Elephas maximus indicus: one gene and its partner. The protein of the gene in region 1 interacts with the protein of each later gene in a biochemical or structural test. Links are inferred from orthologs where the notes say so. Each region holds a gene or a part of one and is shown in the gene's direction. Other genes may lie near its edges.

Evidence for each region.
Region 2: the proteins of CFH (region 1) and C-reactive protein-like form a complex in vitro, tested with the Homo sapiens proteins (12 studies listed by BioGRID and IntAct, with this or other methods). The link is inferred for Elephas maximus indicus from reciprocal best matches to the Homo sapiens genes CFH and CRP.

The regions. Positions count from the first base shown.
Region 1 is NC_064842.1:63,160,408-63,167,555, forward strand, and holds the start of CFH (complement factor H), read left to right. Parts: upstream 1-4,146; 5' UTR 4,147-4,395; coding exon 4,396-4,453; intron 4,454-7,148. UniProt on the Homo sapiens protein: Glycoprotein that plays an essential role in maintaining a well-balanced immune response by modulating complement activation.
Region 2 is NC_064821.1:198,293,182-198,300,409, reverse strand, and holds C-reactive protein-like, read left to right. Parts: upstream 1-4,969; 5' UTR 4,970-5,809; coding exon 5,810-6,421; 3' UTR 6,422-6,583; downstream 6,584-7,228. UniProt on the Homo sapiens protein: Displays several functions associated with host defense: it promotes agglutination, bacterial capsular swelling, phagocytosis and complement fixation through its calcium-dependent binding to phosphorylcholine.

The DNA.
Region 1 (7,148 bases):
TTCTAGCCTACCAGGTTGTGAGAGAATAAACTTCCAAAGCCATCCACTTGTGGTATTTCTGTTATAACGGCAGTAGGTGACAAAGACAGCAATCTTAAATACAATGCAATCCTGATCCAAATATCAACAGTATTGTCTTAGGCTGGGTTCTCTAGAGAAGCAAAACTAATAATGCATATAAATATATATAGAGAGATTTATATTAAGGAAACAGCTCACACATTTGTAGGGGTTGGAATGTCCCAAGTCCTTGGATCAGGAGAGAGTCCTTTCCCAATTCACAGAGCTGCAGAAGCTGGTGAACCCAAGATGAACAGGTTGGAGAGCAGGGATCCCGCTCACAGGTTGTGACGGTCGATGAAACCACAAGGCCGGCAGGCAAGACTGTAAAGTTTCTCCTGAGTCACTTAGCTGCAGGGGCTGGTGAACCCAAGATAGGCAGGTCAGGGAACAGGACTCATGCTCGCAGGCTGGGAAGACTGGTGAATCCCAAGATGAACAGGTAAGCTCCTAGCTGAAGTCCCAAGAGCCGCAACAGCCAGAGCGCAGACAAGAGACAGCTGCTGGATCCAGAACAAGCCAACAAGTTTTGCAAGGCAAGCAGGAAGGAAGTAGGTGCCAGAAGGCAGTGACATGAAGGCTGAGGGGGCGGTGAGCTGCCACAGGCCCACCCCTGCCAGTACCACTCAGCAGATTCCATCATGGGGGTGATCACATATCAAATTTCAACAGGAAAGTGATCACAACGTTGTACAACTGCCAAAATAATGAGAATCATGGCCCAGCCAAGTTGATACACAATCTTAATCATTACAAGTATTCTTTAAAGAGATAGAAAAACTATTCATTAACTTCATATGGAAAGGAAAGAAGCCTGGGATAAGTAAAGCACTACGGAAGAAGAAAAACAAAATAGGAGGCATAGCACTACCTGACCTCAGAACCTAGTATACAGCTATGGTAGTCGAAATAGCCTGGTACTAGTACAACAGCAGGCACATTGACCCATGGAACAGATTGAGAACCCAGATGTAAATCCATCTACCTACAGCCACCTGATCTTTGACAAAGGCCCAAAGTCCATTAAATCGGGAAAAGATAGTCTTCTTAACAAACAGTGCTGGCAAAATTGGGCATCCATCTAAAAAAAAATGAAACGGGATGCATACCTCACACCATAAAAATTCAAAATGGATCAAAGGCCTAAATATAAAACCAAAACTTTATAAATATCATGGAAGAAAAAATGCTGTCAACGCTTAACCAAAAAACCAAACCCGTTGCCATCAAGTGAATTCCGATTCATAGCGAATGTATAGGACAGAGTAGAACTGTCCCATAGGGTTTCCAAGAAGCTGCGGGTAGATTCAAACTGGCAATCTTTTGGTTAGCACCAGATCTCTTATCCACTGTGCCACCAGGTTTTCCAGTCAACACTAGAGGCCCTAATATACAGCATAAACAGGATACAAACCATAATTAACAATACACAAATACCAGAAGATATGCTAGATAAATCGGATCTTCTAACAATCAAACACTTATGCTCATCAAAAGATTTCACCAAAAGAATTAAAAGAGAACCTACAAACTGAGAAAAAAATTTTGATTATGACATATCTGACAAAGGTCTAATCTCTAAAATTGATAGGAAAATACAACACCTCTACAATAAAAAGACAAACCAATTTAAAAAATGGGTAAAAGATATGAATAGACACTTCACCAAAGAAGACATTTGGGCAGCTAACAGACACACATAAGGAAATACTCGAGATCCCTCACTAGCCATTAAAGAAATGCAAATCAAAACCACAATGAGATACCATCTCACCCTGACATTACTGGCACTAATCAAAAGAGAAAATAACAAATATCGGAGAGGTTGCGGGGAGATTAAAACTCTTACTCATTGCTAATGCCCATGCAAAATGATACAACCATTTTGGAAAATGATGTGGCGCTTCCTTAAAAAGCTGAAAATAGAAATACCATCTTATCCACTCCTAGGAATCTATCCTAGAGAAATAAGAGCCATCACACAAATAGACATATGCACACCTATGTTCACTGCAGCATTATTCACAATAGCAGAAAGATGGAAACAGCCTAATGCCCATCAACAACGAATGGATAAACAAACTGTGGTACACAGACACAATGCAATACTATGCAATGATAAAAACAATGATGCATCTGGGAAACATCTCACAACATAGATAAATCTGGAAGGCATTATGCTGAGTGAAATAATCACGAAAGGACAAATATTGTATGAGACAACTATTATAAAATCATATGAAAATGTTTCCACACAGAAAGAAACAATCTTTGATGGTTACAAGGGTGGAGGGGGGGAGGAAAAACACTAACTAGATAGTAGATAAGTTGTAACTTTGGTGAAGGGTAAGACAGTTGACAATACTGGGGAAGTCAGCACAACTTGACCAGGGCAAAGTCATAGAAGCTTCACAGATACATCCAAACACCATGAGGGACAGAGCTACTGAGCTGAGAGCTGGGGACCATGGCCTCGGGAGACATCTAGCTTAATTGGCATAACATAGTCTGTAAAGAAACTGTTCTACGTTCTATTTTGGTGATTAATGCCTGAGGTCTTATAAGCCTTTGAGCAGCCATCTAACATACATCTACTGATCCCATTCTGGCTGGAGCAAAGAGGAATGAAGAAAACCAAAGGTACAAGGGAAAGATTTGCCCAAGGACTAATGGACCACAACTACCACCCCCTCCACAAAACTGAGCCCAGAACAACTAGATGGTGCCTGGTTACCACCGACTGCTCAGGCAGGGATCACAAAAGAGGGATCCAGACAAAAAGGGAGAAAAATATAGAACAAAATTCAAATTCACACACACACAAGGAAAAAAAACAAAAACAAAAACCAGACTTGCTGGTCTGACAGAGACTGGAGAAACCTGAGAGTATGGTCCCTGGACACTCTTTTAATTCAGTACTAAATTCACTCCTGAGGTTTACCTTTCAGCCAAAGATTAGACACGACTATGGGGCCAACAATAGCACACATGAGGAATGTGCTTCATAGTTTAATCATGTATAGGAGACTAATGGGCATATCAGCCTAGAAGCAAAGATGAAAACAGAAGCAAAGATGAAACAGAGAAACCAAGGAGGACAAGGGGAGTGGTGACACATTGTGTGGTTGGCAACCAATGTCACAAAGCAATTTGTATATTAACTGTTTAATGAGAAACTAATTTGCTCTGTAGAGTTTCATCTAAAGTACATTTTAAAAAAGTATACAAAAACTGGCAAATCTATTTCATGCTTTTAGAGATCAGGGTAGTGATCTTCCTTGTGTGCTGGGACTGGGGAGTGGGGTTGTTGAAGGGACTACCATGGGTTTTCTGGGAAGTCTAATGTTCAGTTTCTTGACCTGGGCACTGGTTGCCCTTGGTTGCTATTCACCTTCTCCATATTCAGCAAATCGTATGCTTACATTGTGTTCATCTCTCTTTATGTATATTTCAATAAATAGTTTTTAAAATGAGCATCATTATTTCTTGATTTTTCGTTACTAAATTCATTTATGCTAAATGAGAGTGAGCCAGTTGCTTCACCCACTTAGTGTGGTCGAGTTGATTTTGACTCATAGTGGCCTTCTAGGACAGAGTAGAACTGCCCTGTAGGGTTTCCAAAGCTGTAAATCTTTACAGAGGCCACTGCCGCATCTTTCTCCTCTGGTGGCTGGTGGGTCCAAACTGCCGACCTCTTGGTTAGCAGCTGAGCACTTTAGCCACTGTGATACCAGGGCTCCTTGACTGCCTCACACACATGTATAAAGAGCCTTTAGAAGACTAGCTTTTCATGAATTATGGAAAAAGCAGGCCCCAAAAGATCAGCCAGCACTGCATTCTTGGCAAAGCTTATTCAAGTTGCCTGGGTCTTGATTGCAAAAGTATTACCTAACATGAAGTTCTGTAAATGATTTTCAAAAGAGTTTTTGTTCTGAGCTTTACACACAACGAAGTTTGAATATTTGCAGAATTTATGAAATGCACAAGACATCACCAGCTACTTCTTTGTGCATTCCAAGAACCTGAGCATGTTCCAACGGAGAACACAACTAGGTTTATAATAAACCAAAGAACAGGTCACAGTGTTCATGGTGGGAGTGCAGTGAGAATTGGCTCATACTCTGGCGCTCCTGGGGCCTGTGGTTGATTATTTTGTCTCACTTTGCAGAAGTTTCTGATGGGCGGAGCATCTAGTAATCCCTTTAATTTCTAAACTGTGTTTCAATTTCCTTTGGAGCCAGTACTTGCCTGCACTGATCACAATTTTTAGCAGAGGAGAATCTGATACAGTGTGAGCAGTGTCAGGTATCAAATGTTCCACTAAAAAGTCCCAGAATGAGATTTCCGGTAAAGATTGTTTGGCTTACGTTATGGACTGTTTGTATAGCAGAAGGTAAGTTTAAAAGAGACTTCTATAACTAACAAATGATTTGCTAATGGATTTTCATGGTGATAATTAAAAAAAAAATTATTATTTTGTAGCTTAATGTGAGTGGCTTTTGAAATTAAGTTTAATATAATTAGCTTATTTTAATAGCATAACTGTTTACTTAATCATAATTTTATTTAATGTAAAATTTAAGAAAATGTTTTAATGAACCTTTTTTATTTTATATCATTTTATTTATTTTGTTGTTGAGAATATACACAGCAACTCAACAGTCTCTACATGTACCATTTAGTGACATTGATTACATTTTTCGAGTTGTGCAACCATTAGGGAACATTTTTGAAAACTCTAATCTGTCATAATCATTTTTCTTGCCAACTGTTGTAAGATATAATTTAGTTTTTTGCTTAGAATTTTTACCAAAATACTTTATGTAGAAATATTAAAAGTTGAGATAGATTATAGATAGATAAACAGGGAGGCAGATAGGTAGGTAGATAGAACCAGAATATAAACTATTCAATAAAAGCCTTCAAATCCTGTATGACTGGATTCTTTCCTCAGACGTAGATGTTAACTCTGCCTAAAGATGAATTCATTTATCATTTACAATTGATATTGCTGCAGCCTGAAAAATCTTATAAACGATCATTGTTTGCGTCTTTAGACTGAAAATATTAATGGAAATCTGAAAAACAACTGAATACACAATCTGAATTGTTCAGAAGTTTTTTTTTTGTGGTTGTGTATGACATATTTATATGACATATTCTAGGAAAGTATCTTCTGGACTAATGAATATGAGTGCAGGAGTTTTTCTGATAGTAGTTAGACAATTTCTGGATTCACAGTGAAATTTAATTTGTTACTGTTTCATGACAGATTAAAAATATCCCTTTTACAGGACATTTGCCCTCACAGTTAGTAATAGGTAAACTCACTACAGGCAACATTGTTCAAATTGCAGGACAGAGTTTAAAATAACAGTTTCTCAGTTTTACCACATCGTTTCTGCTTTGTGGAATATTTCATGAACCAAAATTTTCAAGTTGATCTTTCAGATTTAGGGTTTAAAAATTGTATACTATTTAAAATTAGACCACACCCCAGAAATTTCGGGATGATTAAAGTGAACAAATTACAACTATGCTGAAATATGTCCAAGTACACACTGACTGTTGTTTTGGGGAACAATATGTTTGCTAATCCTGGAGGTTTAAAGGGCAGAAATGTTCTGTCAGACCCTTAAATACATGACGGAGTAAAGATAGAAAGACTCCATTCAAATCAGAGAATTCTTTTTTTTATATTATATTTTTTCAGGTAAACTGTGGCTTCAAATTGGCATTAAATCTGATATGAAAAAAGAATTGACATGAATATTATAAGAATTAATTATAAATTAATAAAAAATACTCTTTATAAGGCTATAAGTGAATATTATTTATTAATGTCTACGGTGGTGCGCAATTTTAATACGGAGCCCTGGTGGTGCGCAATGGTTAAGAGCTAGGCTGTTAGCCAAAAGGTTAGCAGTTCAAATCCACCAGCCGCTCCTTGTAAACCCTATGGAGCAGTTCTGATCTGTCCTATAGTGTCGCTACAAGTCGGAATTGACTCGATGGCAATAGGTATTGTCTAATACTGAAAAATTGTGGTAGTGATTTATAATCCCAAATTCTATTTGAATTCCAATGCAATGAATCCACCCCCCCAAAAAATATTTTCAAAGTTAGTGTAGTTAGCATAGGTGCCTACCCGCCCAGTGTGATTTAAAATTGTGCATTGGCTCAGTTTTTACCAGTATCTTCTCTCCCCCCTTTAAAATACGTTATATTTTATTACCATACATTCAACCAATCTGAAATTTACATGGAATAGCAAATACTCTGAGAAAGTACAATAGGATAATTAAGTCTGATATTATTCCCCATAATCTACCTCAAATTACTGTAATCTGGTAACATTCCTGCAACAATTTTAGTGGAGGGAAGAATAAAAATGGATGAGGAAGAAGGTAAAAAGAATAGGAGGAAGTGACTCTGGAAGATGAGGTATTTCCAGGTAAAAGAGATCTGAATGAACTGCACAGTAAGCCCATGAGAAGGGGTCAAGAAAATGCCCACAAAAATGGCAAAACAGGGAAAAGTGGGCTAAGGCAATCCTTGCCTATTTGAAGTTTAGGCATACCCTGGTAATGCCTGTGTTACTCTTTTGCTTATATAGAATTTTCAACTAAAACTAACTTAGGTATTGAAAAGTAAAATTTTTTTTGGCTAGAAATAAGTTCCCAAATAAAGTTCAAGGGCAGATCACTAAAGATTCTTGTTTTTTGGCCTTTTGTTGCTAGGTCATGCACCAAAGTCTAAGTTGACCCATTACTATTTGCTCAGTTCTGGACTGTTCTGTAGACTTTGCCACTTCTCTTTCTTCCAGCAATGCTTCCTCCTCCCTCCCCCACACTATTTCCAGCGTGCCTGGGCCTTTGAGATTCTGCCAACCAATATTCTGTTTTTAGTTACAAATATGCACTTTACCTATTTCTTAACAACTTTAATAAGTCTCAGAACATAAGGCATGTAAAGGGCATATTGTAATTGAGAAAAAGTGTCACATTTTAGCTTAAAATTATAAAGAGAAATTAGTAAAAAAATAAAAAGTCTCAGGGAAAGTAAGGTAACTGAGCAGGGAAAAAAAA
Region 2 (7,228 bases), on another chromosome or scaffold:
TTCTAACATCCAATTATTCTTATTTCCTTTGTAGGATACATTTACACACTACCTGGATACTTTTCAGATTCTTCTCCTTGTCATAGTGGTCAAGCTCCTTCTCATTGTTTGGGCATGGATCTTTTTTACATACCCTGTGTGTTAGTTACTCTGTGCCCATTTCAATCTGATCACTTTTGTCCTCCACTCTGGGAAGTATTCTATTATTCCTTTGATTATTTTCTTATCTCCAGTTTCAAAGTTTTCTTCCCCTGAAATTTCTGTTTTGAGTCTCAAAGTTTTGATCCCCAAGCTTTTTGTCTTTTGTCTATGCTTTATGTTTTGAGTATGTTAATTATATTTCTCAGTAAAAACTTCTCTTTTTGCCTGAAGTTCTATTTCCTAAGATAGGTGTCCACCATCCATCTGTCAGTTTGTCATACTCTGGTGGCTTGTATGTTTCTATGAAGCTGGAAGCTATACTACCCTGTATTTAAAATACCATCAGGATCACCCATGGTGGACAGGTTTCAGTGGAGCTTTCAGACTAAGAAAGACTAGGAAGATAGGCCTGGAAATCTACTTCTGAAAAGTAGCTGATGAAAATCCTATGGATTACAACAGACTATTGTCTGATATAATGCCAGAAGATGAATTTCCTAGATTGGAAGGTACTCAAAATATATAGTGGCTGCGACAAAGGACTCAAGCATGCCCATGATTGGCAAGATGGTGCAGGACAGAGCAACGTCCTGTTCTCTTGTTGCCATGAGTTGAAGCCAAGTTGGCAGCAACTAACAGCAACATGGTAGGTGTTCCTCTGCTTGTTGAGTGTGGTGCCCTCTTTTCATGGCATTGATTCTTTCAGACAGTCTATAGAAGCTGTTGCTATTTTCTGTAGTCCATTTCCAGGAATTATGAGGAATAGGCAGCATGTCTTATGGAGTCTACCAGTAATTTGTCTTCTGGATGTCAGAGTTTAAGGTTTCCTCCAGGGTGTCACCAGCCTTCTGGGACTGTGCCCTGCCTCTGGGGCCAAAGCACTCTGTCCTCCAGCCTGAAGACAAAGGTCTTTGCAGCTTGACACTTGGCCAGGAGGGCAAGGGATGGTGGCCGCTACTCCTCAACCAATCTGTCCCCTGCTTTGTTTTCTACTGCTTGATTCCACTGCCTATTATTTTGGAGCACCCTCAAAACACTTCAAATTTTTATAGCAGCCTTTCTGGCATATGTTTTCCTCTATCCATCTGATTTATCTGCGTTCTGTCTTTCAGAGATTCCCTCAAGCTTCTTTCTCCTCATGAAATTCTTCCCCCTTTTTTTTTTTCTGGCACTGTATCGACTTACTCTTTAAAAATATGTTCTCTGTCATTTTTAGGAACTGAGATAGGTAGAAGATACTGGTGCTTGTGCTCAGTTCACCATTGATTATATTTAGCCTCTGTACTTTCTCCATCATTCCTTCTGTCATCCCTTCATCTATTCACCCCACAGTACTTACTGAATACCAACTCTGTGCCAGGCTCTGTACAGGCTGCCTTTCAAGAAGGTAATGCTACTGCCCATAAATGACAGTGTCTTAGTCATCTAGAGCTGCTGTAACAGAAATGCCACAAGTGGATGGCTTTAACAGAGAGAAGTTTATTTTCTCACATTCTAGTAGTTTACACGTCCAAATTCAGGGCCTTGGCTCCAGGGGAAGGCTTTCTCTCTCTATTGGCTCTGGAGGAAGGTTCTTGTCCTCAATCTTCCCCTGGTCGAGGAGCTTCTCAGGCACAGGGACCCCGTGTCCGAAGAAAGCTCTCTGCTCCTGGTGCTGCTTTCTTGGTGGTATGAGATCCCCCTTTTCTCTGCTCGCTTCTTTCTTTTATATCTCAAGAGATTGCCTCAAGACACAATCCAATCTTGTAGGTTGAGTCCTGCCTCACTAACACAACTGCCACCCATCCTCCCCCATTAACATCATAGAGGCAGGAATATCACACGATACCGGGAATCATGGTCCAGCCAAATTGATACACACATTTTTGGGGGAACATAATTCAATCCATGACAAATAAGATCTGGATTTATCTTTTTTTTTTTCATAACAGAGATGGTGCTGCTGAATTTGCATCCATCTACACAAGCAATTTTTCTTGACCTCGGACTCATCTTTCTTAGGATGATTGTTTAGGGCTGTGGTGGTTGGCTACCAAGTAAGTCAAACTAACTGGCCCATGTAGTAATGATCGAACCCTCTTGGCCTCATTCACACAATGTTTGAATTAAGAAAGCTAGCTAGATATCTTTGGCCACTACTCTCTGTAGCTCCATGTTTGATCGGTGTTCTATCCATTTTATTACTGACATGATTCTCAATCTGCTTCTCTGCATTCTCGTTCTTTCCACTCTACAGTTTTGATGTAACTTCTTACATTAAAGTCTTATGTTAAAGACTTAGTTTTGACTAGTCTTTAGCATAACTTTTCTACTTAGCTAGCTTAGTGCTTGTCACTAGTAAATGCTCATAAAATGTGCCCAGGTTGAATTAATGAATTATGACACATTAAGTTGTCTCCCTATTTATAATTTCCGAAACTCTAATACATCCTTCCCACTGCAACCAATTCTAAAAAAATTCTAAGACAGAGATCTATTATTTCCTTGTTCAAAAAGTCCTCAAAGCTTCTTACCTGCTTAATGTGAAAGACCTTGGGCCCACGTTTTCTAGAGATGATTTTATTAAGTAGTTTGTGTGAATAGTGGCAACAGAGACATAAAATAATGCTTCGTAAGTACAACTGTAACTATTGTGCTGGTAAAGCAGAACAGCAATTCTAATAGTGATTAGGAAAGAGGAAATGCCCAGTAGAAGTTACACTAATAAATCAATTAAGATAGAGAGCAGGAAAACAAACAAAAAACCAAATTGATACAATCTTTAGAGTAAGGATGTCTCAGAATTTTGTCTTGCAAACCAATACATTTTGAGGACTGGAAAGATATTGATTCATAAAATAGACTATCATGGATATAGAGGTTCAAGGAAGCTTTTTTTGAGTTTTTGTATGAAACTGCAGAAATTGAAACGTGGTAGTGGTCATTGCTCATATTATCATCTTGAATATTTCACTTCCGTTTTTGTGGCTAAGCTTAATCTCATGCTTATCTGGTGAGGGGAAAGGAGGGGACTCCTGTGGTGAGGATGCCAACGGATGTATTATTTCAGGGGCAAGAAATGACTAATCTAGGGACACAATGCTATGGATTTAAAAAAAAAAAATTAGGACTTTACAAATGAAGGTATTTTTATTAGTCAAAACTCATTCAAATATAAATGTCATAAAAACAACTGAAATGTGTAAAAATGTGTAAGCAGGGGATTTATTGGCTCATAGACTTCAGAAGGCCTGATGTGGGGTCAGGTGAGACTGGATTCAGAGTTTCAAGCAATGTCATTGAGGTTGTGTCTCTCTCAGCTTGCCTAGGGAATCAGGGGTGGAGAAAGGTGGGACAGAGAGCCACTTCTTTTAGGCTTGAGACTTTATAATTATTTTACTCTTTAAACTATGTGAAAGTATTCAAGAGGAAGTTATGAAGTGTCAAATGTTGCTGAGAAGTTGAGTAAGATGAGGACTGAAAATTGGTTATTAAATTTACAGGAGAGAGGTTTTGTTTATGTTGGTTTTCTGGAATGGTGGAGGTGAAAGCATGGTTTGCATAGATAGGAGAGAACAGGAGATGAGGAAATGGAGGGGGTATACAACCCTTCCCAGGAGTTTTGAAGTAAAGAAGAGCAGAAAAAGCAGAGAGTAGCTAGAGGGAATGTGGAATCTTGGGCTTCTTTCTTTCCTTCCTATGAAATATTAAATATATTAAAGCATAGTTATTGTTTTTGGGGATGATCCAGTAGAAATGAAGACATTAATGATGCAGAAGTGAGAGAGTATCAAAATCCCTTGACCAGTTGAGAGGGACTGGGATCCACTGCAGAAGTGCAAGCATTGGCCTTAGATATGTGTAGGGATAGTTCATCCCTTGTAAGAGGGGGGATGCAGAATATGTGAGTAAAGATGAAGAAAGGCTGGTGATGATTTGGTGGTGGGAGGATGTATAAGGATATTGGTTAGGCTGCTATAACAGAAAGACTAAATTAACAGTGATCTAACAAGAGAGAAAATTCCTCCTTTAAGAAAATGTTCAGGTAGGCAGTTTAGGTAGGCTGATACAAAAAAAAAAAAAAAAAAGCTCCATATTCAGTCATTCAAGCGCCATCCCTCTTCTTGCTCTGCCAATATCAACTTGTAGCTTGCATCTCGTGGTTTAAATGTGGCTGTTCCAGCTCCTGCTATTATTTTTGAATACTAGCCAAAAGAAAGGAGAGATGTGAAAGGGAAATCGCATGTCTTCTTTTTAAAGGGCACAACCTGGAAATTATTGCTATTATTCCTGATCATGTCTCATTGGCCAGAACTTAATCACATGGTCACCCCTTTTTGCAGGGGAGTCTGGGAAATGTAGTGTTTGGCTGGGTGGCCATGTGTCCAGCTAAAAATTCTGTTCTCACTGTATGAGAAGTGGAGAATAGATATTGGGGAACTGCCAGAAACCTCTTCCACAAGGGATGCAATGGTCGTTTTCTGGTTGCTTCTAATTTCTCAATGAAGAGGTGATTTCATCAGCTGAGAACAAAGATGGATGTGGTTTTAGGGGCTTAAGGAGAGAAGAGAAGGAGCAAAATAGTCATTCTGGAGAATCAATTCAGGAGGGAACTGTAGTAAGATTGCCAGGTAATATAGAGGACTACTCGAGTTTTACGGTCATATATTTAGAGAGAGACCAGTCCGCTCCCAGCACTGATAGTCCAGTTATTCATACCTCCTTGAAGCTTTGTATATTCAGAAAATAGTCTGTTTGAAGAACCTCTGATGCGTGGTACATTTGTGACCAGGTGCATATTTCACTACACCAGAAAGTTCTTAATAAGTAAACTCAGTTGGCTAAGAAAAATTTATCCTTGGCTCAGTGAATGGTATCATTGTTTTCCTCATTTCCCAATCTGTAAACAAGCAGCTTCTGAAAGGGCTTAGTGATGACATCTGTCTCTAGCAGCTGTCAGCATTTCTCCATCACACTCTATGACTTGGGCTGAAGTAGGCACTGGAGATAACCACTATCGTGTGCACACAGATGGCCACTTCTCTATGAAGTTAAGATTTTCCATTATTTTCTCAGGATAGATAGCCAAATTGGAGTCCTTGGGGAGCTCCCTCATTTTTCCTCCCACTAAGAACTGGCGACTCAGGAGTCACTGGGTTTGTAATCAGTTACACACATATTGATTTCTCTGTTCTGTAATGATTATGAATCCTTTCTTCTCAGAACCCTGACACCTGACGTCAAGAGGCAGTGATGGAAAATAATTTGCATAGTGGCACAGACTTCCCCTGCAGGCATGGGTATAAATCCAGGCAGGATGGGGCAGGTCTTGAAGAAGTGGATCTAGTCTTTGAGCTTTCACCCAAAGACACCTTCTGAAGGAGGTGAGCCCAGATCCTATGACATCAGCAGCAGGGAATGATCATGGAGGAGCTGTGGTAGTGTTTCCTGGTATTGATCAGCCTCTTTAATGTTTCTGGCCAGACAGGGAATATCCAAGACTATGCCTGAGATTTGATATGGGGGCGGTGATGGGACCCAGAATTGTACAAAAAGAAGTCAAAGGAATATTTAGCATGGGTGCGTGTGTGTGTATGTGTGTGCGTGTGCATGTGTGTGTACCTGAAGAAGGGGCGAGTCTATTTCTCAGTCCCAAACATTATATGCATGTTTTTTCTGTCTCACAGACATGCATAAGAAGGCCTTTGTGTTCCCCAAAGAGTCAGCCGATTCCTACGTGTCTCTGAAAGCACAGCTGAAGAAGCCACTAAAAGCGTTTACCCTGTGCTTCCACGTCTACTCCGAACTGAATCTGACCTGTGGCTATGGCATTTTCTCTTATGCCATTCAGAAACAGGCTAATGAGATCCTCATATTTGGGTCTAAGAGTAGAGGATATATTGTTGGAGTGGGTGGGACTGAGGTATTATTCCGTGTCCCAGAAACCACTGCTGCTCCAGCACACATCTGTACAAGCTGGGAGTCAGCCTCAGGGATTGTTGAGTTCTGGCTAGATGGGAAGCCCATGGTGAGAAAGAGCCTGAGGAAGGGATACACTGTGGGATCAGAGGTGATTATCATCGTGGGGCAGGATCAGGATTCCTTTGGTGGCGACTTTGATATAAACCAGTCTTTGGTGGGAGACCTTGGCAGTGTGAACATGTGGGACTGCGTGTTGTCACCAGAAGAGATTAACACTGTTTATTTAGGTGGGACCGTCATTCCTAATGTCCTAAACTGGCGGGAGCTGAACTCTGAGATCCATGGGGAAGTGTTCATCAAGCCCGAGCTGTGGTCCTGAGACCCTGCTGTGGGTCCTGAAGGTGCCTCTTCCTGGCACTTATGCCTGACAGGCTCCATGTCTCTGGCTCTGGAGCTGTCTCCCCTCCCCCCACTATATACACTGTAGGTCCCTGAGTGGTGCAAGCAGTTTGCAGTTGACTACTAGCCTAAAGGTTGACAGTTCAAACCCAGCTAGCAGTGCCATGGAAGAAAGGCCTGATGATCTGCTTTCATAAAGATTACAGCCAAGAAAACCCTATAGAGCAGTTGTACTCTGTAACTCAAGGGGTCTTCATGAGTCAGGATCTGCTCAGCGGCAGTTTTTTTTTTTTTTTTTAATGCACAGTGCAGGCCTGCTCTGTGCATATAGCCCTTTGCTTCCCTGCCTTGCCTTCCTTGGCAACAGAGAATGGAAGTAAGCTCGGGGGCTGGCGAGCTACATTGTGAAGTTTCTTTCTCAAAAAAATAAAAAGAAAGGAAAAAGAAAAAAAACAAAAACCCATTGCGGTTGAGTCGATTCCAACTCATAGCGATCCTATAGGACAAAGTAGAAGTGCCCCTTAGGATTTGCAAAGCTGTAATCTTTACGGAAGCGGATCGTCATATCTTTCTCTTGCATACAGCTGCTGGTGGGTTTGAACTGCCAAACTTTCGTTAGCAGCTGGATGCTTAACCACTGTGCCACCAGGACTCCTTTTCTTTGTCCAGAGAGCTCAGAATTCTAGTTTTTTTTTAATATTGAAAGAACCTTAGAGTTAGTCCCTCAGTCTCACTTAACCGTGAGAAAACTGAGACCCAGAAAATAGAAGTGATTTTTCAAAAAAGT